Alligator mississippiensis: one gene and its partners. The main gene of each other region encodes a partner of the protein of the gene in region 3 in a complex. Links are inferred from orthologs where the notes say so. Each region holds a gene or a part of one and is shown on either strand. Other genes may lie near its edges.

The links.
Region 1: the proteins of RPS6KA1 (region 3) and SNTG2 are in contact, whole or in part, in a crystal structure (PDB 7QQL), measured with the Homo sapiens proteins. The link is inferred for Alligator mississippiensis from reciprocal best matches to the Homo sapiens genes RPS6KA1 and SNTG2. Residues at the interface, in NP_002944.2 of Homo sapiens: Pro731, Ser732, Thr733, Thr734, Leu735; in NP_061841.2 of Homo sapiens: Gly82, Gly83, Leu84, Gly85, Leu86, Ser87, Ile88, Lys89, Gly90, His94, Ser101, Lys102, Phe104, His134, Val138, Leu141, Arg142.
Region 2: the proteins of RPS6KA1 (region 3) and MAGI1 are in contact, whole or in part, in a crystal structure (PDB 5N7F), measured with the Homo sapiens proteins. The link is inferred for Alligator mississippiensis from reciprocal best matches to the Homo sapiens genes RPS6KA1 and MAGI1. Residues at the interface, in NP_002944.2 of Homo sapiens: Pro731, Ser732, Thr733, Thr734, Leu735; in NP_001028229.1 of Homo sapiens: Arg480, Gly481, Phe482, Gly483, Phe484, Thr485, Val486, Val487, Gly488, Asp490, Lys499, Ser500, His532, Val536, Phe539, Gln540.

Annotation. Positions count from the first base shown.
Region 1 is NC_081824.1:38,799,673-38,803,415, forward strand, and holds the start of SNTG2 (gamma-2-syntrophin), read right to left. Parts: upstream 2,271-3,743; 5' UTR 2,062-2,270; coding exon 1,987-2,061; intron 1-1,986. UniProt on the Homo sapiens protein: Adapter protein that binds to and probably organizes the subcellular localization of a variety of proteins. May link various receptors to the actin cytoskeleton and the dystrophin glycoprotein complex.
Region 2 is NC_081835.1:4,521,233-4,524,975, reverse strand, and holds the start of MAGI1 (membrane-associated guanylate kinase, WW and PDZ domain-containing protein 1), read left to right. Parts: upstream 1-1,162; 5' UTR 1,163-1,376; coding exon 1,377-1,647; intron 1,648-3,743. UniProt on the Homo sapiens protein: Plays a role in coupling actin fibers to cell junctions in endothelial cells, via its interaction with AMOTL2 and CDH5. May regulate acid-induced ASIC3 currents by modulating its expression at the cell surface.
Region 3 is NC_081829.1:3,030,085-3,033,827, forward strand, and holds the start of RPS6KA1 (ribosomal protein S6 kinase alpha-1), read right to left. Parts: upstream 2,521-3,743; 5' UTR 2,503-2,520; coding exon 2,374-2,502; intron 1-2,373. UniProt on the Homo sapiens protein: Serine/threonine-protein kinase that acts downstream of ERK (MAPK1/ERK2 and MAPK3/ERK1) signaling and mediates mitogenic and stress-induced activation of the transcription factors CREB1, ETV1/ER81 and NR4A1/NUR77, regulates translation through RPS6 and EIF4B phosphorylation, and mediates cellular proliferation, survival, and differentiation by modulating mTOR signaling and repressing pro-apoptotic function of BAD and DAPK1.

The DNA of each region.
Region 1 (3,743 bases), on a different chromosome or scaffold from region 3:
TTGCTGCATAGATTATTCACAAGTTAGAACATGGCTTTCAAATTAAAAGCTGTGGAATAACATGTCTTAAGCCCAATTCAGAATTTTCCACATTTAAAGCTATCATTTGCTTGTGAATCGTTTAACATATTAATGAATACAGCAATCTCCTCACAGATACAGGGATACATTCAGAAAATATACACGTGCTAAAGCTAGACACTTCTGTTATATATAAAGCAAAATTTTCAGTTGCTTGACCAACTTCTATTAGTTGTCACTCACATTCTCAGCATATCTAAATCATAGATTTCTATATTTAGATCTATTGTTTAAAAATTACTGAAGCTCACAAAAATAATCAAAATGTTTATTGATGCTAGTTTATTGATGCTAGATGCTAGTGGATGCTTCATCCACTTAAGGGTAAAGAAAAAAGGAACAGAGCTTTTAGAAAAAACATTGGAAAGAAGATAGAAATACTTAAGTTTCTCTAAAAAAAAAAAATACTAGCTGAGTTCAAGGATAGCATGTCATTAGAAGCCATGTAAATAACTAATTTAAGATATCAGGACAGGGCATAAATAAGTGGGATGCTTATATATTTCAACAAAAGCAATCAGTTTTATGCACTGTGTTTATAATAAAATTATTTCTAGATGATTAATAAGACTATCAACTGTACTTAAAGACTATCATAAATTTTACTCATGCCCTATGAAGAACATCATATTGTTCATAGTTAAAGTCCCTTATAATCATGGAACAGAGCTCTTCAAACCAGGGATACCAGACTGCTTTCATTTATTCAATCAGGGATAGTGGAGATCAACCATCAGAGGGCATCATTTATAAAAATATGTTTTTTAAATATGTGGTGATAAGCCTGCCCCTCCAACTCCCTAATCAGCTGTTGGTTCTCAATGCATATAAAAGTATACACTTTAGAATACAGAAATAATATTTGCTCAGCATGGCACTCTGACTGTATGAATCGCATATGATATGATTAAACTACAATTGAAAAATTCAAAAAAATTCAAACAATTCAAGTATGTGTTAAAACACACTCACAAACAGGTGCCTGGCTTTAACATTACAGCATATTGCTAAGAATTTAAAGTACATAGTCATGCAAAGGAGGAGTGCACTTTCATTGGCATTTAGCAGCTGGCTCAATGAAGGGCAATACAGGCAGAAAGCCACATCCAAAGGCATTCAGTGACTCACTTAAAAAGTGATGCCCTCACTCATGGCAAGAAACATTTTTTTTCTACTTTTCAATGGTGAATAAATAACTTTCTGTAGTCTTATTTTAATGCACTAACCAGAGCTTACACACACACACACACACTAGTTGGGACTTGGACACACACACACACACACACTTAATATTTGGGACCTAGGGATACATGAACACACACACACACACACACACACACACACACACACACCCACCCACCCCATATTGGGTCTTAGGGACACACACCCATCCACACTTATTACTTGGGTCTTACTGACACACACACAGAAGATTTGGGTCTTAAGAGACTCGCACACACACGCACATTTAATATTTGGGTCTGAGAGATGTACACAGACTGGTCTGGGGTCTTGGGGAGACGCACACACACGCACACTCAGTATTTGGGTCGCAGGCGTGCGCGCACACGGTCAGTATTGGACCTGAGGTCCGGCCGGCCGGACACGACAGCCTCCCTCCGCTCGGGGGTCTCGGCCGGGCCGGAGGCAGGCGCAGCCCCTGGGTCTGCAGCGCGCCCCGGGCCGGGCTTCCCCCGCCACAACTTCCCGGCGACTTGGCGCAGCGGCGCGGGGAAGTTTCCCGTCTTCGGGGCGGCGGGGAGAGCCCGGCCCGGCCCGGCCCGGCCCGGCTCCCAGGGGGGCTGGACGGCGCCGTGCGGAGGGGCAGCGGCTCTGCCCAGGCAAGCACGGCCAGCCCCCGTCGTGCGACCCGCCCGCGCCCGAGCCCGCGGCGGGGTTACTTGCCCAGGTGGGGACGAGCAGGCTGGCCGGGCGCTCCCGCTGCTGCGCTGCAGGCGGCTGCTTCCCCGCCGCCTCCATGTCCCCCGTGCAGCGGGCGGCTCCGCGGCTGAACGCTGCGCCCCGCCGCCGCCGCCGCGCGCATGGACGCCCCGCGCCCGCCCGGGGCTGAGCAGGCGGCGGAGGAGGAGGCGGCGGCGGCGCCTGCTCCCTCCTGAACTTCGCTGCTCTGCTCTGCTCTGCTCTGCTCTGCTTTGCTCGGGCAAGGCGCCGCCGCCGTCGCTGCCCGGCCCCGCGCTCCCTCTCGCCCTCCCCTGGGCCCCGGCGCGGCCCAGCCCTTCCCGCCCAAAACTGCGGGGAGGAGGGGGCGCGGAGAGGTCTCCTGCAGCCGAGAGGGACCTGGGCTGTGCAAACGGGCTGCCCTGGCCGCCCCCCTGTGACAGGCACGATGGTCCCTGTCACACAGTGCATGCTCTGCACGACTGACTAGTAAACTTGGGCCACAGGTGCAAAGTCATGCCCCCCCCAAAAGGACTGTCCAGCTCCAAAGAAGAGCCAGTCGGCTAGGAAGGCAGTGCTGCAACATGCCTCATGGTGTCTATCCATCTTTCATTTGAACCTAGGGCAGGGCCCTTTCAATGACTCCTCTCTCCCCCCTACCCTGGAGAGGAGTCAAAGAAGAAGCTGAAAAGCATGAGGGCACCTATTTATATGCCCAGTCACAGATTAGAGCAGCCTCCTGGCTCTTCCGATTTACACCATCTGGCTGCAGTCAGGGAGGGACTGCATTTGAATTTGGGGCTAGCTGTGCCAGCCAGACCCCAAATGAATGATGCCCTTTGTTTCCCCCCTTCCCTTGTCTTGAGGAGTCTTAACTGCACAGTGTTTAAAAAAAAAGAAAGGGAAGAAGCCCATGCTCTCTTTGGCGGGACTTTTCCGGATCTTGTCCTCAAAAAGAAGAGGCAGCCCTCACCCAGCTCAAAACAGGATCCCTGAGAAGTGGGAGAAAGTAGCAGCCTCTTACCCTGGAGAAAACGTGGGCCAGCTCTATTAGGAGAAGGCTCAGGCTAGTTGCTTTGTAAAACAGCCGTGTCTCTGTTTCTGTAAAGGAGAACCAAGGCCTGCAAGGTTAGGGGTTGAAGAGAAAGCTGTTGGGGAGTTGTAGGTGGACAGAGATGCAGAAGAAGGAGCTGGAAAAGACAGGACATGGGAGAGGAAAAGGGAAGCAATGGATAGTGATAATATGGGGGGAGTAGGAATGCCTAGGGCTGTGGTTCTCAACTTTTTTAGACTCAAGGCACCTCTCCAATTCTGTTGCCAAGAACTCAAACTACAACAGATCAGAATGTATTTAATGCCATAGATTCCCATTTGGACTCTGGGTTTATCTTGTGATTCATGTTTCCACACCCACCAGTGCTAATGTGTGACACCCCTGAAAGGATCTCATCATCCTGATCAAGAATCACTGGCTTAAGGAGTGAAGTAGGTAAAAGACCAAGAGGCATGTGAATCAAAGTGAAAGGAGTCCAGCTACTTGGAAGGTAGCAACCCTGGGGTAGATAGGTACTTCTCAAGTAAGAGGTGTCATATACGAGTGCATAACAGAAGGCAATTCATAACTGGAGCCATCCAAAATCTCTCCAATCTTGCTTTCTGAAGGTTATTTTACTAACAATAGGATTATTTCCCATAACAAAAAACTTCTGCTAATGCAAGGCATTGGATTATTGTCTTGGTCAGACATTTTTGGAAAGTGTAGC
Region 2 (3,743 bases), on a different chromosome or scaffold from region 3:
GGACTATTTAAGCTGCAGGCACAGGAGCAAATGGGGACGAATAAGTGGATGAGAAAGCTGATCCCTGGAGCAGCCTTCCAGCGGGAGCCGCAAAACTGTGCAGATGGAGTCTGTAACTTTACTGGAAGTGGCTGTCTGCGATCGCAGGGAGCCTGAGAGGAAGGCTGCTCTTGGGATTCATGCCTTCAGCTTTACAGCACCCCTCCCGTGCAAAGCTAGAGGATCCTGGCTGGGGGGGTGGGTCTCAGCCCTTTGCTCAGGGTCACACTCATGCTACTTTGCGGTCAGGAAGGACTTTTATTGGTGCAGATTTTGGGGTGGGGAGTTGTAGCTCTAACCCTAACCCATACTGCTTTGGGGTCAGTTAAGTCTTTAATTGATGCAGATGGGGGGTGGTAGCAGTAGCCTTAACACTAACCCTAACCCATGCTGCTTTGGGGTCAGGAAAGTCTTTAATTGATGCAGATGGGGGGTGGTAGCAGTAGCCTTAACACTAACCCTAACCCACGCTGCTTTGGGGTCAGGACAGACTTTAATTGATGCAGATGGGGGGTGATAGCAGTAGCCTTAACACTAACCCTAACCCAGGCTGCTTTGGGGTCAGGACAGACTTTAATTGATGCAGATGGGGGGTGATAGCAGTAGCCTTAACACTAACCCTAACCCAGGCTGCTTTGGGGTCAGAAAGGACTTTTATTGGTGCAGATGGGGGAGGGGGGAAGGTTGTAGCTCTAACCCTAACCCATGCTGTTTTGGGGTCAGGAAGGACTCTTCACCCCACTGTGGGATTGGTGCAGATGGGAGGGGGGGGGTATATCCCTAATCCTATCCCTACCCCACTTACCTTTGGGTCAGGAAGGACTTCCCCCCATGCTCAGATTGGTTTAGACAGGGGGCTAACCCAAACCCAGGCTGCTTGGGGTCATGGTGAGATGGGTGCAAACTGGTGGGGGGGGGGGGATCTCTCTGGCAGCAGGGGCTGGGGGGGGGGGGTCAGGGTTGCGGTCGTCCTGGAAGTGGGGCAGGGGGTTGCAATCGGGTGCGACCAAAGACAACTTGTTGGGGCAGGGAGCCCGCAGCGCACACACGTGCGGGGGGCGGGGCCGGGCGGGGCGCATGCGCGGGCGGGGGGGGCGGGCGCTGGAACGCGATAGAATGAAGTGTAACAAAACAAGCCGCGTCTTTGTATCGCCTTAAAGGAAGCCGGCGGCGGCGCGGGGGAAGCGCTCGCGTCCCGGCCGGGCCGCCGAGAGGAAGGAGGCGGCGCACAGGGAGGAGGAGGAGAAGGAGAAGGAGGCGGCGCCCGGCTGGCTCCGGGACCCGGCATCGGGGATGGCTTGAGAGAGGCGGGTGGGAGCCCGCAGCCCCCCGCAGCCATGGCCAAGGCGCTGCCGAGGAAGAGCCACTGGACGGGCCGGCTGCAGCGGGGCGCGCTGAGCCGCGGGCCGGGCATCGCGGTGCTGGGCGGCGCGGAGCACGGCGAGTTCGCCTACGTGGGCTCCGTGGACGGCGGCGACGGGGCGCTGCGCCCCGGGGACCTGCTGCTGGAGGTGCGCGGTGTCCGCGTCGCCGGCTTGCCCCGCTACGACGTGCTGGAGCTGCTCCGCGCCGGCGCCGAGCCCGCCACCTTCACCGCCGTGCGACCAGGTACCTACCTACCTACCTGCCTCGGGCACCCACCCTAACCCCGCCCCGCCCCGCCCCGCCAGCCTGGGTGCGCACCAAGTAATCCCCGTGTGGGTTCCTGGGGGGGGGCGCGCCATAAATGAGTGCCCGCCACCCTCCCTCGTGTGCCAAGGTGGCACCCCGTCACCGCGCACGGCACCGGTGGATCAGCGTGCGTGTCACCGGGGTATCGCGCAATAAATGTACACCAGCTGTAGAGTAATTGTGCGATTCAGTGGGGGCCGGCGCAATAAATGTTGACTGGACGTGTGTGTGTAGAGTAATTATGGTGTGATTCAGGGAGGGGGCACGGCGCAATAAGTGTAGAGCGGCTGTGGGTGTAATTATGGTGCGAGTCAGCGGGGGACCACGTGATAAGTGTAGACTGGCTGCGTGTGTAGAGTAAATATGGTATGATTCACTGGGGGGCGGCGCAATAAGTGTAGGCTGGCTGCACGTGTAAAGTCATTATAGTACGATTCAGTGGGGGACAGCGCAATAAGTGTAGACTGGCTGCACGTGTAGAGTAATTGTGCAGTTCACTGGGGGACGGCGCAATAAATGTAGACCGGTTGCATGTGTAGAGTAATTATGGTGTGATTCAGGGAGGGGGCACGACGCAATAAGTGTAGAGTGTCTGTGTGTGTAATTATGGTGCGAGTCAGTGGGGGACCACACGGTAAATGTAGACTGGCTGCGTGTGTAGAGTAAATATGGTATGATTCCCTGGGGGACGGCGCAATAAGTGTAGACCAGCTGTGTGTATAGAGTAATTATGGTGCGATTCAGAAGGGCATCGCGCAATAAGTGTAGAACAGCTGTGTGTATAGAGTAATTATGGCGTGATTCAGTGGGGGACTGCGCAATAAGTGTAGACTGGCTGTGTGCGTAGAGTAATTATCGTGCAATTCACTGGTAAATCGTGCAATAAATGTAGACCGGCCTCATGTGTAAAATAATAGTGCCATTCACTGGTGGATCGTGCAACATGTGTGCATGTGGCATAACTGTCCTGCCCTAAAAATGACTCTCCAGCTATGAAAAGAGCCAGCCAGCTCTACAGGTAAGGCTTGAAAATGCATAGCAGCTCGAGAGCTGGCTTCTCTACGTGGAGCAGAGCCCTCCAAAGCAGAGCAGTTGGTTGTCCCGTTGCCTTGTGATGGTTAAAAGAGTTTAAGCGTGCAACTGCTAGCTGTCTGCTGGGGTTCGGGTCTCAGGTTTGGCACAGGAAAAGATGGGACTCTTTCTTACCACCCCTCCTTGCCGTGATTACACAGCCTGCCTGAAAACCAGACCTCCCTAGCAGTGGGGAGCCCTGCATGGGTTAGGGGACAGGGGAAGGGGCACCTGCACCTCAAGGCCGGCTGCGGGAGACAACAGCAAGGCTCCCGCCGCTGTACGCAGAGCGGACGTGTAACAGGTTAGCAGCACAGGCCTGTTTAATAGGTTCATAGTTTCCAGACCAGGACGTGAATTTTGTGCCAGGAAACTGTTGCTGTTGCAACAGCTGTTATGATTATTTTGCATGCGCAGGATTTGGAAATAAACAGGATTATATTGGAACACCTGTAGGCTTGCAGGGTGCTCCGGCACACCAGGGTCATCTATAAATGGAGGCAGGAAAGGAAGTGCGTTTAGGATAATGCAGTGGATTTCTGGAGGGGAAAGTTTATTACCCCACAAACATGTCCTCATCCCAGGCTAGAGCGGGATTTGCTGTGTTTGGCCAAAGCAGTGATGTCTCGTGTAGCTGATGGGCGGGCAGCAACTACAGACTTGCTCCAAAGAAAATTAATCATACATTTTTTTTTGTGCGTGTGTGTGCGGCTGTTAACCTTCTTGTAAAGCAGCACCGCTAACTTCTCAGCCTCTCTCTCTGCGAGCCCTGTTAAAAACCAGTCTGGTAGGTCACATGCACTTGTTGCACAGAGATTATTTGGACTTCTCGTGCGAGTAAATGACAGTAACGTTGCGTTCTCTTCGGTGCGAGCAGGAAGGAAGCAGGAGTCCGCTTGTGTTTTGCTGTGCCGCACCGTTTAATCTGCACTTGTCATCGTCAGGGATCTCTGCTTGCTTTT
Region 3 (3,743 bases):
TTCCGCGGCTGTGTGTTTGTCTAATGAAACAAGAGTTTCAAGAAAAGCACTGCTGCTTTTCATTACTATGGTAATGAAGCCATTCAACTTTGCTTTCAAGTGCTGGCACGCTGTCCCAGCCGGAGCGCAGAACAGCGTTGCGAATCACAGGGGTAGAAGGTGGTGGTGTGAGGGGGGGATCGATCTGCCAGGGAGCTCCCCAGCACTGAAGCGTGCTCCACTTTGGCTCCCGGGGTGCAGTCGTCCCCCTTCCCAGGAGGCAGCTCAGGGCTCCACGCGGGAGCCCCCCAGCTTGCTGTGCCAAACAGGCCCGACTGCGACCACCGGAGAACCAGATTACTAACGTGACAGAACAATGGGGCTGATTTCTCCAGCGGCACCGTACTAACACCTCTGTGCCGTGACTCAGAGAGCAAAGGTTTGAGGAGGCCCATTTGTGGCAAGGATCCCAGGGGGATTTACGTAACTCACATTCCAGAAAAGTCTCTTCCATTTCTTAACTACCTTCCTGCCGTAGCAGGGACCACTTGCTTCCGCTGCCCTGGAGTAACCTCAGCCCATGCAGGGCATGGCTCAGACTCAGGTTTTCAATCACGGCCAGACAGATACTCCGCTGCCGCAGAGGGAACATGCTGACATCCGGCGCAGAAGATGGCAGTCAATCTTGGAGGCAAAACAAAAAGCTATTGACACCATCCATTCTGCAACGTGAGATCCAGCACATGGGTATACCTACCGCCTCTCGAGCTAGTTGGGATGTTAGCAAATGAACTCAGGCCTGCAGAATAAAATGATCCCGGAAGCTATAGGACTGAGTTTTAGAGATGCCAAGCGCAAGGGAGACCTTGCATTTTTGGGTAGGCTACCTGGGAGGCAATAGGCAAGAATGCGCCATTGCATTAGCTCCCTCTCTGCCCTGTTTCTCTCAAACTTCAGAGACCTCCAACCGCCAAATGCAGCAGACAAAAGAACCCAACCCCTGCAGACCAGACGCAGAGCATTGCCCGTGTTGGCACCGCAGCGAGACATTAGACACAAAAACACAGTCTGTCTGTAGGATCAAGCAGAAGTCTCACTCCTGCCAACAGCACTGGGCACGGATGTTCGCTTCTCCCCTCCCATTATTTTTATCGCGTCGTCTGGCTTCACGTGAAGCCTCCCAACTTAAAATTTAAAAAAACAGCCTAAAGCGCCGTCGTGTTTTACTGTGACGCTGTTATCTTGTGGATCTGTGCTGCCTCACCACAATGGGCAGGCCTGAAAGCACTCTGTGATATCAGGCAGGGAGATTGAATCGTTGCAGAATGAGTTCTCACTCTTTTCTCCCACCCTGGTGCGCACACGCATCCTAATGGCTCCAAAAGCTTTACGGCAGATGCTGGTAGCCCGCTGCAGGTGCCCGTCCAGCCCACGGCAGGTGGAGCCCCGTGACCCTGCTGCCAGGCAAGCGGGGTGAAGCATCCAGTCCAAGTCTTGCGAGGTGGCTGGTGAAAAAGCAGCTCTGACCACCCATTCCCCCTCCCAAACCTGCAAGACAGAGGAGTCTCTCTCAAAGAGTCGGGACCAGTCGACCTTAGTGAGAAAGCCTGCGAGCCCAGAGCACGACACTGCCGCGTCCAGGGGCAGCTTGCAAGATGGAAGAAACAGCATCCGGGCTTACGAAAAACCCCACGCGCGGCGACCGTGCCACGAAGAGGCCGATTCGCGTTCGCAGGAACCGGGCAAAGGAGCACGGTGGGACGGCACGGTGGTTGCCCACGCCTGCGCTTTGCCTTGGACGGTTCTGTGGTCTACGGCACCCTTAAGAGGGCAGACGGCATTCAAGTCCCTGAAGACCTCGATCGGAGGCCTGAATTAAGCGGGAGGGGAGAGCGTGCACCCGCGAGCGCCTCCCCGGGGCTTCTAGCCCCCCCGGAGATTCGCGAGACGTGCCCCGGTGCCAGCGCGTGTCCGCGAACACGCTCGGGAGAGGGGGCGGCGGGGGGCACCGCGGGCACGGCGAGACACGATCGCGCCCGAGGCAAGGACGCGACCCACCCCGCAGCAAGCGACTCGGCGCCGCGGGGGCCAGCCCAAACTCCGCTGGACGCGCCCGAGAGCCCGACGGCGGCCCGCGGTCAGGGTAGACGTCCTGCCCTCCGTAAAGGGAAGCGGGCGCCTCGGGGCGCACGCGGTGCTGGGGGCCGGCGACACACGGGCGCGACGCCGCCGTCCCTCCAAAGCCCTCCGGGAAGCGGGTGGGGGGCGGGGGTGAGAGGGGGTGTCCGCAGAGATGCGGGCAGAGGGAAGGGAAGGGAAGGGAAGGACAGGGCACAGCCCCTCCCTCCCGACCCTTTGTCCGCTGCAAACTTTCGCGGCGGGCGCGCGGCTCACCTCGGCGTCCAGCTGCACCAGCTCCTCGGCGGCGGCGGCGGCGGCGGGCCACGGGTCGCCCAGCTGCGCCAGCGGCATCCCGGCGGCGGCGGCGGCGAGCTGCTCGGAGCCGCCGCCCGCTGCCCCCATTGGGCACCGGCCTCCCCCGGCGGGGAGGAGCCCGGCGCCGGCCCCCGCACCTCCATTGGCTGCAGCCGGCTCCGCCCGGCCGGCACGGCGCCGCCCCCCGCCCCGCCCCGCCCCGCCCCCGGCCCCGGCGGAGCAGAGCGCGGCTGCCAGCCCGCCCGCCCTCCCGCCCGGGCGCCCTCGGCCTCGCAAGCTGCCGGGGGAGGGGAGCGGAGGGGAGCGGAGCGGAGGATGCTCGCACGTGGCCCCGCTACCGGCGACTCGCACGGGTCGGACCCGAGCGGGCTCATTCGACCTGGGACTCGTACAAAACCCTCTGGGTTTCTCCTGGCAGCGCTCCCGTCCCGTCGCGGCGCGCCCCGGCAGGCGGTGGGGAAGCGGACCCGCTGCACGCGTGCGTGCCCCCGGCCCCGCGGCACCCCGCGCACACCTGAACTGCTTTGGACCCCTCTCCCACCTGAATTGTTTTAGACTCTTCTCCCATCTGAATTTTTAGACCCCTCTCCAACCTGAACTGCTTTAGACCCCTCTCCTTAGACTGGACATTAGGAAGAACTTCACAGTTCCAGTGGCCAAGGTGTGGAACGGGCTCCCAAGGGAGGTGGTGCTCTCCCCTGCCCTGGGGGTCTTCAAGAGGAGGTTAGATGAGCATCTAGCTGGGGTCATCTAGACCCAGCACTCTTTCCTGCCCATGCAGGGGGTCGGACTCGATGATCTATTGAGGTCCCTTCCGACCCTAACATCTATGAATCTATGAACCTCTCCCATCTGAATTGCTTTGGACGCCAGCCCGTTCTCCCAGCCTCACAGCAGGTTGTTTAAGGCCCAGAGAAGGGCGACGGGGATGATGAGCGGCATGGAGGGGCTTCCCGATGAGGCCAGAGCTGCTCAGTGCGGGAAGGAGAGGCCATGGGGGGGGGGACGACATGACGAGGGTTTACACAAAACTAAATGGCGAAGAGGAAGTCAACGGGGATTTGTTACTGGCTCTCGCTCGCAAGATGAGAACGAGGGGTCGCACGGTAAAACGAGCAGGTCGTCGGTTTAAAATGAACATAAGGAAGTTCGTTTTCCCCCAGCGCATCATTAAAGGCTGGGGGTCGTTGCCACCAGAGGCGGTGGACGCTGAGAGTTCAACCACATTCACAAAGGGACTGGACACATATTTGGGGGTCACTATTGAGCATGAGAGTGAGGGGCACGACCTCCGAATCAGACCCGAAATGCTGGAGGCTGCAAGGGAG